Neodiprion lecontei: one gene and its partner. The main gene of each other region encodes a partner of the protein of the gene in region 2 in a complex. Links are inferred from orthologs where the notes say so. Each region holds a gene or a part of one and is shown on either strand. Other genes may lie near its edges.

Evidence for each region.
Region 1: condensin complex subunit 1 (region 2) and condensin complex subunit 3 share a complex: the UniProt entries of both Homo sapiens proteins name them as parts of the condensin complex. The link is inferred for Neodiprion lecontei from reciprocal best matches to the Homo sapiens genes NCAPD2 and NCAPG.

The regions. Positions count from the first base shown.
Region 1 is NC_060266.1:609,868-619,272, forward strand, and holds condensin complex subunit 3, read left to right. Parts: upstream 1-1,811; 5' UTR 1,812-1,911; coding exon 1,912-2,040; intron 2,041-2,195; coding exon 2,196-2,992; intron 2,993-3,083; coding exon 3,084-3,612; intron 3,613-3,692; coding exon 3,693-3,992; intron 3,993-4,072; coding exon 4,073-4,447; intron 4,448-4,537; coding exon 4,538-5,047; intron 5,048-5,131; coding exon 5,132-5,290; 3' UTR 5,291-5,776; downstream 5,777-9,405. Other genes in the region: uncharacterized protein LOC107216909, read right to left, coding at 583-653, 790-964. UniProt on the Homo sapiens protein: Regulatory subunit of the condensin complex, a complex required for conversion of interphase chromatin into mitotic-like condense chromosomes.
Region 2 is NC_060261.1:30,816,020-30,825,720, forward strand, and holds the start of condensin complex subunit 1, read right to left. Parts: upstream 5,013-9,701; 5' UTR 4,752-5,012; coding exon 4,628-4,751; intron 4,488-4,627; coding exon 4,353-4,487; intron 4,279-4,352; coding exon 4,103-4,278; intron 3,555-4,102; coding exon 3,409-3,554; intron 3,299-3,408; coding exon 3,217-3,298; intron 2,831-3,216; coding exon 2,768-2,830; intron 2,682-2,767; coding exon 2,448-2,681; intron 2,371-2,447; coding exon 2,038-2,370; intron 1,936-2,037; coding exon 1,767-1,935; intron 1,710-1,766; coding exon 1,363-1,709; intron 1,279-1,362; coding exon 1,111-1,278; intron 1,010-1,110; coding exon 785-1,009; intron 704-784; coding exon 459-703; intron 371-458; coding exon 250-370; intron 45-249; coding exon 1-44. Other genes in the region: transcription termination factor 5, mitochondrial, read left to right, coding at 5,258-5,527, 5,614-5,744, 5,892-6,219, 6,299-6,717, 6,829-7,053, 7,148-7,364. UniProt on the Homo sapiens protein: Regulatory subunit of the condensin complex, a complex required for conversion of interphase chromatin into mitotic-like condense chromosomes.

The DNA of each region.
Region 1 (9,405 bases), on a different chromosome or scaffold from region 2:
CACAGATATAGTTGCGACGCTGCACGAGTGAGTCGCATGACTTTGAAATACATAACTATCTTTTTTTTCCTTTCTCAATGCTACCAAATTGCATAACGTTCAGGTTGATAAGAATTTCCTAAACGAGGAAAATGCCTCTATTTGCTGGGTCCGTGTTTACACGAGTTGCACCAAAGAGACTTACGTCACACCCTTCACACCGTTTTCACCGCCTCTGTAGCATTCAGTTTTCCGATTTGTCTATAGTTTCGGATTTACTGTTACCGATTTTACTTCTTTCATAGATTGCCAGTGTACCTTGCCACTTTGCAAGACGCTCACTAATATACAACTGTGTGCACGATTTTAAATTGATTTTCACCTACGACGGTTGACGCTTTACTTCTATACTTCCAAGTGGATAAATTAATGCAAAGAATTTCTCGAATAATCAAACGAAATGAGTTTACGGCGCGATGTTTATTTGTCGACGACTACACCTTGTTTATAAGAGGTATTACGGAACATCAGAAATTTCACAACGAAAAGATCATATCTAAAATTTAATTCGCGACTCTTCTAAGCAATAGTTGAATGAAAATTCTAGTGGTGATGTTCAGCTGCTTCCTTCCTTCTCATCTCTGCGTATGCAGCTTTGTTTCCTGGACTGTTAGCTATAAAAGAGGAACAAAATATATAGTCTTGAATAGGTACCGAGTCTATAGATACTGTCACAATCGTTTGTCACTGCTTTTCCTACTTTTCATGCAAAGAACTGTGCTGAGCAATGAAAAAAATTGTTTTGCTTACCGAGTTTGTGAATTTGGTAGATTATGGGTAGGCTGGCGACAACGCCATAATAGTAGAATCTGAATTGCCAACAGTACTTCCAATAGAACTTGTATGGAAATTGTGCAATCTTTGCCGAAATGGTATACGGGAACTTCATGGGACGAGACACTGGAGCAGGTGGTTCTCCAGACATATTTGCTAAACAACAGACCATGAAACAATAATTATCATCTCTATTCTTTTTTTCCCAATACCGGGTTACGAACAAAAATTACATCCCGTCAGAAACTAAGAGTTCTGTGTTTTCTTACGTCAACTTTTATATTCCCCTTAAAACTAGGCGCATGATCAGGTTTTATTTCCACCATCCACAAACACGGTTTAAATCATGATGATAAAATTTTGTCGATCTACGTGACTATCATCGGTAATTTCTAGATGAAATGTGAAAACAGGAGTCAACGGATTCCGGAAATATTTACGAAGTTGAATTATGTAATATTGCAACGATTTACGTTTGGCAGGAAATTAGCACTAGCCTTGCTAAATGGACGGTATTACTTTCGTGGGAATGAGAAATATTTAGTAAGAGGATAGAGTTACTACTAGCGTATAGAATAGGGACGGAACAGGGCAGAATGTAGATCAGACGAAGCGACTTTCGAACTTTCGATCCATCGAGTGACATTGCAGGCTGATAATTGTGCGAACCTTTACTTCACCGCGAATGAGACATAAATTCGTTGTGCGACGTGAGCCGAAGGTAACCGACTGCTCAGCATTCATGATTTTTGATCACAAAACTACCCATCGAAGAAATAATCTAAGCTTATGAGTGTATCATTACCGTTCCGTGGAAATACTTTCTGCAATGAACTTGTGACAAATCAACTCGGGTCCGTCTCTCGTGCACGATGGCCGACGACTGCGGCTGCGTCCACGAGGTTACGTAAGCTGACGATATCAATCGAGTGCCGACTATCGAGAGTAGTTGAGATCCTTCAGCGATAATCGGTGTCAAACGCAGCCAAACCGTCATCATTGATTTCAAATGAAAAATGTCAACGATGTCGACGGCTCCTGACGCGCGGTTGTGTTTGTCTTAACGAGACTGAGTTTCGGGCCCAATTTTCCGCACACATGGTGTATCGTTTATGCCAAAAAATGGCCGGAATGCTCGTGCAAATGCAGGAGGCATTCACGCAGGTTCAGTATTCCCGGAGAGTTCACCCGGAGTTCATGTCGAAGTTGAAAAAATTGTACCAAAAGGTGAGCCTAGTCCAGAATTATTTCTTCAGCCATCCGAGTGGTTCTGGCTCTGCTTTAAATGCAGTTTTGCCCATAAAAATTCTGCTGTAGTACGAACCCTCGAATGTGTCGCACGTCGATTTGTCATAACTCACGAAAATACTAATCCTTTGCAGATGAGTGAGAAAGACTTTACAAGGGCATTCATATCTTGTTTGTTAATTCCATTGGGCGAGGGAGAGCATCATCCTCGTATCGAGAACGTACTTATCTTTGCCGCAAAATTTGCAGTCAGCGTAGAATCGTTTAACCATGAGACCGAGGAAGAGGAACTTTGCCCTTTCATGAATTCGTTGTTTGAGTTTTTACTAGACAATCACGATGTCGGAGATGCAGCGCTGAGGTTCCGTATGTGCTACTTTATGAATATGCTCCTCAACTCTATGGGGGACAATGCGTTTATAGATGATTTGCTGTGCGATAGAATTACTACATGTATGACTGAGCGATTACTGGATAAAGTGCCCAAAATCAGGGCTCAGGCAATTTTAGCTCTTCATCGTCTTCAAGATCCGTCAGATGAACATTGCCCTGTGATTAAGGCATTCATATTTCACCTTAACAAAGATCCACAAGCCGAAGTTCGCCGAGCAGTCTTGCTCACAATGGGAAAAAACAAACAAACACTAGCAGCTGCGCTGCGAAGAACTCGTGATATTAACGATGGTGTCAGAAAACTGGCTTTTCAATTTTTAACCAAAATTACAGTTCGATCATTGACCATCGAACAAAGAGAAAAGTTGCTGAGCGACGGACTACGCGATAGATCTGAAAAGGTCAGCAAGTATGTTAAAATGCAATTGTTACCCACCTGGCTGGAACATTACGAGGGAGATTTCATCAAATTGCTCCGAGCATTAGACGCCGAGAATGCACTGGAAATTTCTATTCTAATGCTGGATGTTTTATTGAAGTAGGTTTATTTGATGACTGGGTGTGAAACTCTACTTAATTGCCTGTTCCAATGAAAAATATTATCGTATCATCCGGTTTTTCGTTTCCAGACTTACTCCAGTGCGCAACATCATTCAACATGTGCCTGTCGATCTTGACACAAAATTAATTCCATTTGAAAAATTAACAAGCGAAAGCGTAATTTATTGGCGGTGCGTGATTACACACCTGCAGCGTGAGGGCTGTCAAGATGAGATTGATAAAATATTGCCTGAACTTTCCAAATTTTGTGAGTACATCAGAGATTTCATGAATCTGATGAAACATGATCAGCGTGAAACTTGGGAACAGAACACGCTTCGTTTCATTCTTCTGCAGTTGTTTGAAATCACAAAAATTTGCGATCTACATGACGAGGTTGGCAGGGAAAACTTGAAGGAATTGATAGTAGATACACTAAAGTCAGATCATGATTCTGAAGCTCTTATCGATAGTATTGTTCAACAGTGTGTAGCTATTGTGCCAGATACCGAAAGTAGATTGAATTTATTGGCCAATGTGATAAGTGAACTGCGAATGCCATTGACAACCGAGGTTGTACCGTTAACCGAGGCTGAAAAACACGAGAAAGATATGAAGGTATCATTTTGTGAAAATTTGAGGATTCACATTTGTTGCGATCACTACTATAACCTCAAGTTGTATACTCATTGTTTCAGAAAGCAAAATTGAAAGTAGAGTTACTTCAAGTTCAAGAGTATCAGTATGTGGCGATCCAAAGTAAAAATTTTTTGCGGGCAGAGGAATTAAAAACCAAAATTGAATTTCTGAAAGCTGCCATTGAGGATCTTGGCACAGATCAGGTTGTGGAAGAGGTGCGGGAAGAATATGAAATGAAAAGTGACAAAAAAACACTGACAAAGTGCTTGCAAATCATGTTCTCCATGACGCAAAGCGTAAAGACATTGTGTCCGATGTTGAGAAGCCTTCTGATGGATATGGTTCTTCCCAATCTCGATGTAGGTTTATAGAAATGCTGTGAAGATATTTGAAAAACTTTTATTGCAATTTGGATAAACTAGATTTTTCATACTTCTAGCATTCAGTGTGCAGCGTCATAATCGGAGCACTGAAGGCAACTACAGTTTGTTGTCTCCTGGATGAGGATTTGGCCAAAAAATACATACCCGTTTTCTTCCTGCAATTTAGTGTCGAAAATGACGACATTTGGCTCGCCGCACTCAAGGGCATATTTGATTTATTGGTACTCTACGGTCTTGAGCGTCTGGGTATGGCTCCAGATCCAGAAACACCAGAAGACACTGGTCAAGCTAACAAAAGTAGGAGTAACAGGACTGTCAGACTGTATAGTCAGTCGGAAGATACAGATACATTGCTCAGTACTCCGCGACCTTCCCTGAATTGCGAAAATAGAAATATCATCAATATCCTCACAGGGTTATTGGATAATGCCGTAAGCTCAGCACCCGATCAATTTACCGTTCGAGCGAATTTCATGACACTTTTTATTCCTGCAACAATCTCGATATTTTGCTTTCTGCAGAACCGGGACCTACGGACAATTGCGGTTGAAGGTCTTTGCAAGCTTTTACTACACCGAAGAATCTCCAGTCCTTCTTTGGTCGCGCGACTCATTATTTTATGGCACAATCCTGTGACTGATAACGACTCTTATCTGCGCCAGTGTTTGAGTTATTTTTTCAACCATTTTGGCGCCGTTGTACCAGATAGCCAAGAAATGCTGGAACGCTCCTTTCTCGTGACGCTGAAAATGCTGGCCAATGCTCCAGACACCAGTCCGTTACACGAGATTGAACCTCTCAAGGTTGCGCAACTTATTTTGCACCTTACGAAAACTGAAGCTCAGGATCGTCTTCTAGGCTATTGCGCCCATAATAATTTGGCCCTTGCTATAATTGCCGAGGCTCTCAACTCTGACAGTTGTATAGATCCCAAACTACTTATTCGAAGCTTGAGGTATTTGCATATTCATTTGGAGGATGATTCTATGAGAAAATGCCTTCAAGAGTCTGTCAAAAGACTTTCAGAACAGGTTAATAAAAATTATCCTTATACAAGCAGATGTATTGATTATGGAGAATATTGGTATATTTCTTACTTTCAATCCTAATTACAGGTAGAACCTTCCGAAAAACGTATAACTAACACGTTGTCGCATTTCAAGCGCAATTTGGACAATCAAACCAAATTCGGAGCAGAAAATGGGCCAATAACAGAAGAAGAGCTAATGATCGAAGAAGAACCAATGATCGAAGAAGAGCTTGATGCGTGTTAGAAGTGACTTTTGCCTGCTCCCTCGTGCCTTGTTAAAGACGATGAATCGCGTTCTAATTCGATCAGTATATCAACATCTGCTGGATTTCCCTTCGTGAGAAGCTCGGGTTAGGTGATAATTGTACTGAATTCGTGATGGCATTTTTTTGGTATTCTAAACCATGATGAACGAAACACAAAAGTGGCTCAATTCATAATTTTTCTCATATTAAATATCATCACATTAATTTTTAATCATCACAACAATTTGTCATGTGTATCATATGTATTGTGAAATTTCTGGTGAATTTTTTTAAACACGGGTCGTACTCGCTAATCGCTATCTACCACGCGTGTTTTCCCGTTTTGATTGATCTCCGTTTTGCGGTAATTAATTTAAGTCAGAAATAATAAATCAATCGAAACAAATCAGTCGTATGGTTCGTGAAAAGTCTCGAGTTCATTTTTGTAGAGCTATAACGTAATAGAATTTCCGATTGACCGTAAATCTGCTCTGTTCTTTCTTTCATCGTTATATGCTATTTACTCGCTCGCTATGTGTCTTTATTCGGCAACGAAAGATTAGAAAAAAAGTCCATTGTCGCCACGACAGCAGAGTTTCGATTTCTCGCTGTCGGGCGGTTTTTTTCTTCACCTCCACCAAGTTGAAAACTTGAAAACCACTCGAGCTTTGTACCCTCCACTACGGATACGTGCATTTGGCACGCTTTCCGGCAGCTCAACGCCACTGGGTGGTTAGTGCAGCTGGCGGAATCGATATTCATCCGTAAAACCTTTCAAATAAACGAGGACATTAGGCAACGCGGATCCCTTTGCGATCCTCTCGCGATTCGAAGACAATCGACGCCAGTGGTACCTTCAACTTGATCGTTCAATTCTCAATTTTTATTTATGGTCCTAGTAGCCCCTCTCACCCTTCGTTTTTCACCGATTATTCAGAGTAAAATCCATCTGCTCCTTTTTCTTTTGCTCTATTCTCGTTTCAAGTCACTCTAGTGTAAATTTGTACGTAGTATTCGGATTCGATAAATTTCAGACGCTCTCCCGACTTTACATATATCTTTTATCTAGCAGTCACTTCCGGACTTACGCAAACTCCGTTCAAACCTATCAATCGCAATAGAATATTGGGTAGTAAAAGGTATCGCGAAACGCGGATGAAAGTTTGGGGGAAGGTTTAGAAATGACAAGACAAGAGTCGTTGTTCTTCGTCCGGACTGTTGCTGGCGTGGCTCGATTGGTATCGAGGTGAACCATTTTCTTCGCTTTTTTCATTGCCCCGTTGTTGTTTTATCGGTCCTGACATCGACGGTAAATTTCAAGTTTCGAGTGTCCGAAGCAGCACGCCTGATTGGCCAAATCGATTGTTACACTCGACTGATTATCCATCCCCTGTGACTGTGTTCTACCCAGGTTTCGATATACTCACCGAGTGGTGGTCCTCGGCGTCGTCGTCACACAGACGAAGATGCTGCCCACTGGGTAGATATATGCCTAATGGTTTATAGATCGAGTAATTATCCTCGGAAGGATGATCGTGCGAATACGCCGCGGCGTCGAGGCCCCAACGTTTATCCTACGACGGATTCGAGTCACCCCCGGTTCGTTCAAACTAGCTCGCAATTTGGCCCCTGCGATTGGTCCAATTTGCTTCTAAAAATTACACAATTTAGTTCTCAACACTCCATTTTACCTAATTTCAGAATAAACTCTCGTCCTTTTTCATTCAGCTGGCTGTTGCGGCCTCGGTGATAAATAATTGCGTGGGTTCAGCCGTTGTCCAAACCCATCGCCGGTACGCGTCTATCCCGATTCCTTGTGTCTCGACTTGCTGGCACCGTGGCTATTTCCTTATTTATAGTCGATAACTTTCTGTATTGTATCCGATACAATCAACGGTATAAATATTTGCTCTATCGAATTGCCGCATCTTTGGGGAAGATCGCAGTGTCAGCGAGTGCAAAAACAGGAAGAATCCCGCCGATAATTCTCAAGAACACTAAATTTGATAGGCAATGCTTTTCATTTAACGCATGCCCGCGAAGGAATCTTTGTACTATATTTTTTTGCGGTGGATTGATGGATGGAGGAGCTTTCATATCGTCCCACCCCGCGGTCACTCTGACGGGGATGCGTTGTCGTTATTACTTCATTTTATCCCCCACGGCGACCTATTGCTTTTGTTTATGCATCCAATATTTGTCGGAAAACTTTCAACGGATCTCTGATACAACCGTTAGCCAGAGACGTCGATCGTTCGTTTCTCTCTCATTGATTAGACAGGATCTTTTTCAAGTAAGAGGTAGCAAGAGTTGAAACTGCAATGGAGAAATACCGACATGCAGCAGTCAGCGCGTTCATTCAATCGTACATTGTGCAATTTGGGGACAGGCAAACGGGCTATTTCTACCTAGGGTCATACGATGGCGCAGAAGTCGGAGTCGAGTGTAACACCGTGTTTTTTTTTTTTTCAAGAAGTGCATGTGGGGCTAAAATAAAATGATTACGGTTCATTTTTGATTTCACTCATACGAATTAATTGTAAGAACAACGATTGATAAACAAAATTATTCGGTGTTGATTTATTGCTCGTTACTTCGCGAGGGCGATAATGACGTCCACGCTCGAAATGAACAATTTCCCATTCACCCAACATGCGTGAAAATAGGACTTATTTCATGCAGGTGTTGATAAAAGTCCGATAATTACAATCCGTCAGCCTAAAAAGTCAAATCCCTGTCTTGAGTTATTTGGTAAGATGGCATTTAACGAGGGGCACTAGAGAAAGATAGATAGATAATTCTCATAGGTTCGTTTATTTATTTTATTTTTATCGTAAAATTATTACCCACTGCATTATTTTATTTGTTCGATGGTAATTAGTAGGAAATTAACGTCGTTCGATTTGTTGAAATTTTGAACCCTTTCGATAGATACATAGGAACGACCAGAAAAAGAAACGTGTGGATATAGGAAGACCATACTATACATTCTGCCCGGGAAATTAATGACATTGATAACATTTTTTTATCAGGATAAAATATGAATATGTATATCTTATTAGCACTTCCCGCATTACTCTTGTTACGTATTTTTAATTGCCTGAGGTCAATGACAACTTGTCCGGTGTGTGTGTTTATATGCCTGTGTATTCAGGCCGGTTGGTCATCGTGGACGGACTCGCTCGACCGAGTTCAAAAGCTGCTCGTTAATTTCTGAAAATGACGAATCACTCACTCGACGTGACACACAAGTGTCGTTAGTTGCTCATCGTCCCACAGGATTTCTTTTACTTTTTCTTCTTTTTGTGTTCATCTCGCATCGGTTCAACTCCCGCACGAGCGGCTCTGAGAAGTATATATATATGTATATACCTGTAAAGCTCGCGTTGGGTATTACCGGGGAATTCTTGCCTAGATTAGATTTATTTCAACACCTGTCCGCATGTTTCACTTTTACCTTTCATCGTCGATGCATGCATTCGTACGTACCCACGTGCTCGAGAACGAGGATATACGTTTAACTGGTCCTCTATTATCGGATACGCGGGTAATGCTTTATACTTCGAATATCCTCCGGCTAGGTGTGTATACGTATCCTTTGAACGAGGTTTACTAGGATCCGTGGGCGTACAGTGATACGCGGCGGCATTGTCTCGGCACGGGCGTATCCTTGCAATGAGTATAGCTCCCGTAGGAATATCGAAAGGGAGAAAGAAAGAGAATAAGAGAGAGGCGAGGCGATGCGAAGCGGAACTGCTGGCAGGGCAGGGAGGTAAGGAGAATAAGAAGGACACTGTAGATCTCGAGTGACACAAAGGGTCGGGAGCAGTGGGCTAGAGTAGGCGAGAGTAGGCGAGAGTAGTAGGCGAGAATAGGCGAGAGGAGACAAACCCTCGAGCAGTCACTGCCCCAGTCTTTGAAAGGCGAACCCATCCTCGGCGCAGTTATACCTATGCATACAGCTACGTGGGCGCACACGCACGCGCTTTTATGCCCGTGCATGTATTCTGACCTTCTTCGTCGCCTTGAGTCGCGGGACTGAGGACTGAGGACTCGCCGCGCCGCGTACTCTGCACGAAAGATAAACAGAGAACCGGCATTTGTGCTCCTTAAG
Region 2 (9,701 bases):
TGGCTGAGCATTTGTTTCATCAATAAATCTGGTTGGTCTGCTAACTGCAAATCAAGTACGTAATGTGTTTTACTTCATCGAAATATACAAGATTTTCATTATTTAACCCAAAACGTTATCATTCCGCGCAAAAAGGCAGCATGAAAGAACGAAAAATACGTGATAATCAATTGTATAATTTATCAATACCTGAAAATTCGAGCAAAGGGAAAAAAATTACGAATTAAGGAATCAAGATTAAAATCTTACGTGATAAATAGCATTGATTGCTTCCGTTGAGAATGTGGTATAGCAAGTTTCGTCAATGTCTTGAAATTTATTCACCAACAGAAGTAGAATTTTTTCAAACACTTCGTGCTCATTGGGAAGCCTATGAAATGTAAATGGGTTCGATAGAGAATTAGGGAGTCAGTCGAAAGGTACGTTGACCAAAGGGCTAACTAAATTGAATGATTTACCTCGATGGGCATTTTAATGGGTCAGGATTTTGCACTGCCACTTTGGTCATTGCACGACAAGTATCTCTAGCGAGTAGAAGGTCGGTTTCTGCCCTTGGGCCAAGGCCCACACTGACAAGAATGTCAAAGTTACCCGTAACAACTGCGGACTCAGTTGTAGATGCCATAGTTAAGAGCATAAGTGCCGCTCGACTCTCTTCTGGCAAGGTGTCGGTTAACTTGAGAGAAAACCTTTCCCACAATACCTTTTCCAAATAATACAAACAGTAATTAAGCTCTCAGGTCCATAATGAAAATGAATCCTAAGCTTGTCTCACTGTACTTACCCGAAACACCTCTGCACTTATTACTTCTTTTTTTCGCCATAGCGTAATGAGTTTTGTGAGAGCAGGACTTTCACCAGGTTCCAGACTCTTCACCATTTTAATAAGTGCTTTAGCAATAACTAATGCCTTGTGCCTTTCCGAGGTATACTGTTCACTATCTCTGATGTATAACTCCGTGTATACTTCAGCCAGATTTTCACAAACTGATACATCAGAACTGTAAACCTAGTTTTTCAAATGATTGTAAATATTATAATAAGCGAATATCTCTACTATATATGTATATGTATAATGTACTTCAGTGAGCAAAATTTAAAATATTCTACCTGGCGAAGTGCCTTGCGCATAGCATCTTTAGCTCCTTCAACTTTAAACTGACATGCAATGCCTAGAAAACTGCAAGCTTCTATGGCATCACTCGATGAGATCGAGGACAATCGTATTTCTGCTACAGGTATCGCCTTAGAAAGCTCAGTAGCGAAGATTAAACAGTTCTAAAATGGAGAAGCTGGTAAGTTTCCTCATCCAATTATTTACATGGTGTTTGCATATTAATTGTCTATATTTATGTACTTTACCTTAATATACTCCACCAATCTTGCTTGAGTTGCGTAATCTTCTTTTCTCGTTTCCTTCTCTTTCTCATATTCCTTCATTTGTTGATCAATATCGCCACTCCCTTGATTTTCTGTAACTATTTGAACTTCTTGCGAATCTATGAATACTTTGTGCAGTACAGACATTAGGAACTCTTCTTTGTTTTCAGGGGTCATAGTATCGATGGGAAAACTTTCTGGCAATTTTGCACTTAAACTCATTAGCTGTTCCAGTGCTTCGCGGATTTTTTCTTGAAAAAGTAGCTGTCTCAAATTTTCAAAGCGAGAATCCAGTTCAGAAAGAATATCCTCCTCGCATTCCATGTGCTCTGTAAGATTAGCCACCTTTATAAAGGGCCAGAAAAATACATTTGATAGGGTATTACCTTCGACACATATGTTTGATATAGCACTTTGGATGCTTGGGGCAAGCGCATTCCAAATGTCTACTCTAATCTTCGCTCCTGGTTCACTAATACTTGCAAATCTTATTCTCAGAGTCTTGAGTTTTTTCTTTGCATCTGCCAACTGCTGTGTCAACTTGTCTAAGTTGAACTGGAAAGAACGAATATTAATACAAGTAAAGTAATGATTAGATCATCTATCAAAATCAGTGTTATGTTAGGCAATGGAAGACAGAAGACAAGAGAAACTTACTTTTCCAGCAAATGGATTGCACTGCAACAAAGTTCTGAGTAATTGAAAAGCATATTTGCGAACAATCGCGTTTTTATCATTTAATCGGTGAATTACCGCCGTAAGAAGAGCGTTTTGATTTACTAAGGGCACGGCACCTTCTGTGCAAAGATATTGCCAGACCTGAAGAGTCTTGGATCTAACAAACGCGTTTGTGTCCAACAAATGATCCATAAGGTTCTCCAAACACTCGTCTCGTGTTGTCTTCTGATCTTCAGATAGATCTTCAGACGTTAGAATCTCTTTCACTATCGTTCCCAGTATACCAATCACACAGTTTCTCATTAGGTAGCACTATAAAGCAAAGAAAGTGTTGCACGAAATCTGAACATAGAAAATTCACCAATCATTTACACTGATCTCTGTTATACCTCATTTGCAAGATGGTCAGTCAAGTTGCTAACAGCTGGTAATATGAGGTTTGGTTTTGACGAAGCAATTGCGTCAAGGAAAGTCGCAATGTTACGCGTCCCCCCTTCCTCTGGGGTTGCTCGGTCAACTTCACGCAGTATCTCCTTAATGATACCGGTGCATTTGGTTTGTTCAATAACTTCTATTATACCAGTTGCCAAATACACTGCTAGTCCATCGCACATTTTGACCAACTAATTCCGAGGAAACATTTTTTCATCAGGATTAACTGCATACTTCTAGTTAACTTGAGGTAAAGAATTTTCTTTAGGCTACTAACCTGAACTACTTTTATTACAAAGGATATACTATGGTTGTACCGCTTTACTAGAGTCCCCAGTATCTGAAATAAATGAGATTAGACATTGCCAGTGATAATTAGTATTCAGAACTGGAATCAGATTTAAAATTTTCAAATAGTAGGTATAGCAGAGAAAATTAAACCTGCAAATCTAGAGTTTCTATACAAAATTTCATAAGAGCTTATTTTTTCAATAGACTTTACGAAACTCATTATTCACTGTAGCTGGTAGAAAATTGAAAAAAAATATTTTCAGCAATTCGTCAAAGATATAATGAGCATTTAATAAAGTAGGGGTAAGTGATTGAAATATTTCTATGTTATGCCAAAGACTCCATAACTTTCAGAATATATTCAGTAACAGTGAATACCTGGTTTACAGGTTCTTTAAGCATTGAATTAATTGTATATTGTCCATGAAAACTCACTTGGAAGATTGATTCCCGCACAGATTTGTCTTTGACATTTTTGCATCTTTCTAGAACCCTGTAGCATATTTCTGAAATGCACCTAGACAATAAAAGATTTTAGAATATACAATTGGTTCTCTAACAAGACATGCTTAGAGTTTTCATTTTTTTCGGAGTTTCCAAATAAACCTGTGACTAAGAAATACTAACTTGATAAAACTCCCATCAGCTATTGGCGGTTGCCAAAGTTTTTCAAGTGGCAATTGTATCCAGTGATATATCTGTACCAAAATTTCATCGATTTGATCATACCACTTGAGTTCCCAATCCGTTTTCGATGATACTTTCTTCCGTTGCTAAAGCAAAATTTCAAAGACAAACAAGAGATTAAAAACACAATAACTGAGCGATTGGATGTAGATGCAGATTACATAAAAACAAAAACTTATGCAAGATATAAAACATAGCAGTCATTTGTAAATTGCCTAACTTAATAAAATGACGTCTAACGCTTCTTTGGAAGATAATCAAGGTGAACGATATATTAATTGCTAAATAACTAAAATAATAACGAAAATAAAAGAGACTAAATTTTGAGTCATTTCCATGTTCTACACATCAGGGTTTACAAGCAGAATTAATAATCTTGTGGCTTCTTTGTATTATGATTTATTAATATAAAGATTAAGAAAAGAAATTTTAACCTATTACGTTTAAATTTTGTGATTTCAAGTTTCTTGAAAGAAATCGTTGCTATGTTTGTGGTACTGTGGGTTGCTGCTACATTTAAATAGTTTTTTATAATCAGACAACAAACCAGAGTACTATTTCATATTTTACCCTTACTGTTTTTATAATAATGTTTTTGTGAGAACGTTTTGAAATTGTAGAAATCGTTTTTCACCTTTGAACTTCCGCCAGCAGATTCTTCAGACACAACAATCTCGATGTGACGAATTAAACTAGACAACAGGTAAGCGAGCATATTGGTGATGGTAAGCAGTTGTGGTTTATCTTCTGCCGCTGGTTCTCTTCCTCTGTCGTACTGCTTTTCTAATTCGTTTGTAAACATTTTAAGGCCTGAAAAGTAACAAGTAAAACATGTAAAGAATTATGTTTTGTTGTGTAAAAGTTGTGAAAGTTGAAATACTTACATTTGTGGATTCGATCAACTGCTAAAAGGTGAACAGGTATTTTTAAATTTGAGCCGTGCACGAGAACAGAGAAGAATTTGTCGAAGTGTTCGAGCAAGAAGCTGGGCCCCTCCTCCTGCAGGATAGCATTTGTATCTGAAATAGTAATTACAGCGGTGGACTATCAAGTAATAGAATTATCACAAAATTACAGCAACAAACAAGACAGAAAAAAAACCAAAACCCGGAATGAATATTTAATAGTGGAATTTGACTAAAATATAATGATAACATACCAGCAAGAATGTTTTGTATGTCCCGAAGCGGATATACATTTCTAACGGAGTATTTTCCCGGCTGGGTCTGAAGAAGTTGATCCTTGTCGGACGGTATCACAAATTCGGGCATGGCGCTCCGCATTTTAGAATAGAATTATTTACTCAGAGTTTCACTGACATTTCACACGTTGTTGATACACGCGTTACTGATGGCGTTCTTAGTTCGCAATTGATGTAACGGCGGAATTTTGAATCTAGTGACGCCAACATCACACTGCCGGTTATCGCTGCTCAAATAGCCGACAACAATGTATGTTTGGGTCTGCAGAGTTGTCTACACTGTTTTCCGCTTAACTGCACTCACCTTCAGAGTACTTGAGCTTGTAAGAACTTCACCGTGAAGTACGCTCCTTACCATTGATGCGTTAGAAAGAGACATGTCTTTGTCGACGAAATTGGACAAAATACTCCAATCACGTCTCCGTTCACCGTCGAACACAGGGAACGTCTGAATTACCGACCAATACTTGGCCCGCCGAATATGGTTACTCGAGGGCATCACGAAAGAACGATACCTGAAGTATCAAGCGTAACACCGGTGCGGCATTAAATCACGGATGGAATAGATTCAGAGATGAAAATAAAATCATGCTGAGATTTACTTTGAAAAATTGGCTTACAAATAATCAACAGTGTTTAAAAACGACTATCTTCCATGTGACAAAGATGACACAGATCTCAGCAACGATAGAAAATCAATGCAATAATTCAACAACTAATGCCACAGTAGAAAAGATGAAATTTTTGGTTAAGTTATTGAAAATTGACACAAGAGAAGCACGGCATTATTTAAAGGCAAATCAACTCTTGCGCATGGTTCCAAACGAACAAATCGCCGAAACCTACGCACTTTGCTTGGTGAGTATGAGCGACAAGATTAATAAATAAAAAGACGATAAGTACCGTATATTGATTCATATTAAAAAGGCAAATACCACACACAGAAATATGGAATTGGCAACGAAGTGAAGGACATTATAGGAGTAATATCTCTCAAAGCATCCACTTTGGAGCGAAGAATAACTTACTTTCAAGAATTGGGTTGCACAAAATTATTAGCAAACATATTAAAACCGTAAGTAAATACTTGAGAATGTGACAATATGCAACTTTCATTATGACTTCATTCGAATCACTTGATAACGCGAGTAAATACCTTAAACTATTAACTATTAATGTCTGTTATATCAGAAGTTCTCACCCTCAGTCTTGTGTATTCCAGTTTTATGACAGGCTGTGAATACAGTCTTCAACAATTTCAGGACTGGAATCTGCTACCGGCTGATGTTGACATTGCGAAAAATATTTTCAGTGTTCTCAATAAACCACCGCCAGATGTTCCATGCTTAGATTCACTAAAAAAAAGTAATTCTATTCACACATATCGCTCCATTTGCCTAGAGCATTATCTCAAGTGGCGGCTGGAGTACACTGAAAAGGAATTGAGTAAATTAACAGCAGTTATACAAAAGTTTCGTTATTTCTCTATAAGATCGATCGAAGAAGTAATCGACTGTCTAGAGAATGAACTCGAATTTTCTAAAGCTAAGGTAACGTCAATTTTGAATTATTTTTCGGGTATCATTAGTAATTGTTTATAGTAAATAATTATATTTATGTTTTCCATAGATAAAGCAAGCTAATTTTCTACTTCGTGCAGACGCAACAAATATCAAGCAGTTACTGACGACGTATAAACAAGTTGCTGGCAGTGATATGAAGCCTTTGTTAATTAAAAATCCAAAACTTTTGGACGTAAAGGCAGACCTGATCCCTGCAAGGTTAGAGATTCTTAAAAAACACGGTGTGACAGAATCTGCGCTAAAAGTATATCCTACTATATTATTGCTCTCGAAGGAAACCATAGAATCTAGACTGAAAGAGATACAGAGCATACCGGAATTAAGAGGTTTTTTGGATCATCAACGCTTATTGCTCTTAATTCTATATTTACGAAAAGCAAAAGATCGTTTACAGTTCATGAAAGAGCATAATGTGAAGAGCATCAGCCTTTTTACGCTTAGCTCTAGTTCCGTTTATTTCAATAGGTTAGTGAAATAATTCGTTCTTCATCACTTTTTCACTATCAAAGTTTACTCCGTTATTCTTAATATAAAAAGAATTCTTTATTTCTCTGCTTTTTTATTTCATTTTTGAAGACAACTTGAAGAGGGACTTGTACGAGCTAAAGGTACAGACTTGTTACAATTTTTGAGTAAAAACACAGGCGCCTCTCAAGCTTCTATTCACCGGTCCCTACAGAAGAATTCAATGTGGCTTCATGCACCATTTATTCACGTGGTGGATACATATTTTTATTTAATAGAAAGAAATTATACCAACGAAGATATTCTGAATAATGTTCATATTCTACTCTACAAAAGGTAAGACGATGTTTTTTCGTGATTAGAATTAAGAAAAATTCAAACTTTGTATCTTTCTTCACTGTCAAAATTAATTATTTTTTTTATTCAACAGTTCACGTGTTGAACAAGTGCTGGAAAAAATTGAATCCGACGAATCCGAGAAATCTAATAATTGGAGTCCTAGTCAGAAACTTGCTTTGTGTGTTTATTATATTGAAAAAAAATTTCATTTTTCCGGGCTCGGTGTATTAGAGGATACGCCCGAACAGCATTTACTGACGTCGGATCAAGTAACAAAAAACCAGGTTTTGAAAGAAGAAGGAAAATAGACAACTGGTTTCGTAGTTATTATACCATTAAATCTACTTTCGTATCGGTTGTTTATAGACAAAAATTCGAGATGTTGAGTCTTACGTAATTAATGGCATAATTCCCGTGATTTTTGATTTTTGATCAAACTTTTTCCTCCCACCTGTTCGACCATCATCCAGAAATTTGTGTGAATAATGCTATAGATTCAAGTTCCGACTGTACAAAGTGAATTATAAGATCGATTTGATTTGGAAATATACTTAATCACAATATCCTTAGAACATATAAAGTATTATATGCTCTAAGATAATATCCAACGTTGAATAAAGGCCGATGATTTCATTGGCCAGTACCGTTAAATCCGGCCAATGAAATCACTTACACGTCGAGACAGGCTTCTTGTGGATCATGAACGGGCTCCAATCACCTGCAAATTTCTGTATATATGACACACCGGGTCAGCGGGGCTTTAAGATGCTTTCATGAATAGCAGATCCTGTATATTATGTAAATATTCTGAATATTTTAAATTTTATACCAGAACCGATTTCGTCGTGTAACATTTTCTTTTCACTGCGGCGCACAGGTTTCTTAGAATTTTTTGGAAAACTGTATTATACCTGAAAAATGTCTCTTATTTACATTGCTATTTCTTTGCTTATCGAAATTCTTTACCATCCAAGATACATTAAACAGGTATGTATTATATGTACATACATAGTTAAATCTCATTAACAGAGTATGTGAAATCTTGCGAATCAAATATTTTCACCAATAATTATCAGTCAGTGATGGGTTGAATGTCCGAGAAAAATTAGAATAGATCTCTACAACACGTAGTGTTGAGTTTCATGATAAACGATGGTTCTATGACTGCTTTTCGTACAGAAATCTAAATTGTAGATATGAAATTGAAAAAAAAAATAAAGAGTAAAAATAAAAAATTGAAACGTATCATTCTATAGTTTAATATGAAAATCTGATTATAATTACGTGAACACGGTTATATGACAACGCTATTAAATGTCAATGCAGGGAACTTCGCAGTCGCTTCCTCCTCGGTATTTGGCCAAGTTATCGCGATGCGAAATTCGGCGTGTTTGCTCGGCTATAGTTCGCCGAGTACTACCGATCACTCTGCGATCACTATAGATTTTCGGGCACCCCTATTTCGCGCGCTGTTGTGATTGGTCGAACCGCTTACCTCACAATTGTCGTTGAAGCGGTTCATCGGATTTACGTCAAAAAAAAAGTCTGCTATCACAAATCGAATTCAAATCTGCCGCTGTCAACTGCTCTCACGCCGATATATATTTTCTCTTATAACAGCTTCGTTTTTTGATGTAACGTGTGTAATGCATGCGTATTTCTAAACAGTATTTTATGTTACGCATGCGTCCAATGGTAGTTGTTTAATTTTTGCTTCAGTCGGTTCCGATTAATAAACTAGAATGCAGCCGTATGGAGAAAATAAGCAGCTGTATCTCAGACGAGGTATTTTATTATAAATGATTACATTCAACAATATGCATATATGTATACTTATACGTGAATTAGCTCGTTAGTTGCTTAAAACGATTCAAATATTCCTGGTATTATTGCAAAGTGGTGAAACACCGTCAAGTCAATAAATACTGTTAGGAATAATAGGAGACGACATTTGCCGGTAATCAGTTATTTCCATAATGGCAAGAATCTACTACGCAGCTAATACTCTTAACTATATCTTTTGGTGCGATTGACTATAACGAGCGCTTTAATAATAATATTGATGTAGAAAAAAAGAGAAAAAAGAAAATCATAGCCAATGACGTCCGTAGACCAATTACTGATTACACTTTCGGTTCAATCATTTGAAAGCCGCATACGAATAGCACTTCCTGTAAATCTCCGTGTATAGATGCAGAATTTAAATTTTAGTTGACTAACAATAAGTATATCCATACACAGTAACGTAAACTTTTTAATGACACGAGCTTATACTCATTGGGCTTAGAATATTTGGCCCTTATACTTACAGGTATTTACTACTCAAACCGGGATCCTAATATCGAAAGAAGGCACTGGCGTTAAAGACACTTGAAGGTTTCGGGTACCCCGCTCGGATAAGAAGAACCGGATACGAAACAACATAAATGAACATTTTTACGCAGATTTACCGACCAACGTTATCGGTCAGAATTTGCTGTCACGCAAGGGAAGCGAAAGAAACTCACAGGTGAAGCTGAATATCCGATTAGCTTATATATTAATTTCCTATCGGTTTCAATGATTTTCATAATTTGGAGATATTCTTATTTGCGACGTTGCATGAAGTGAAAGGTTTGATGAAAAAGTTCAGGAAAACATTTTTA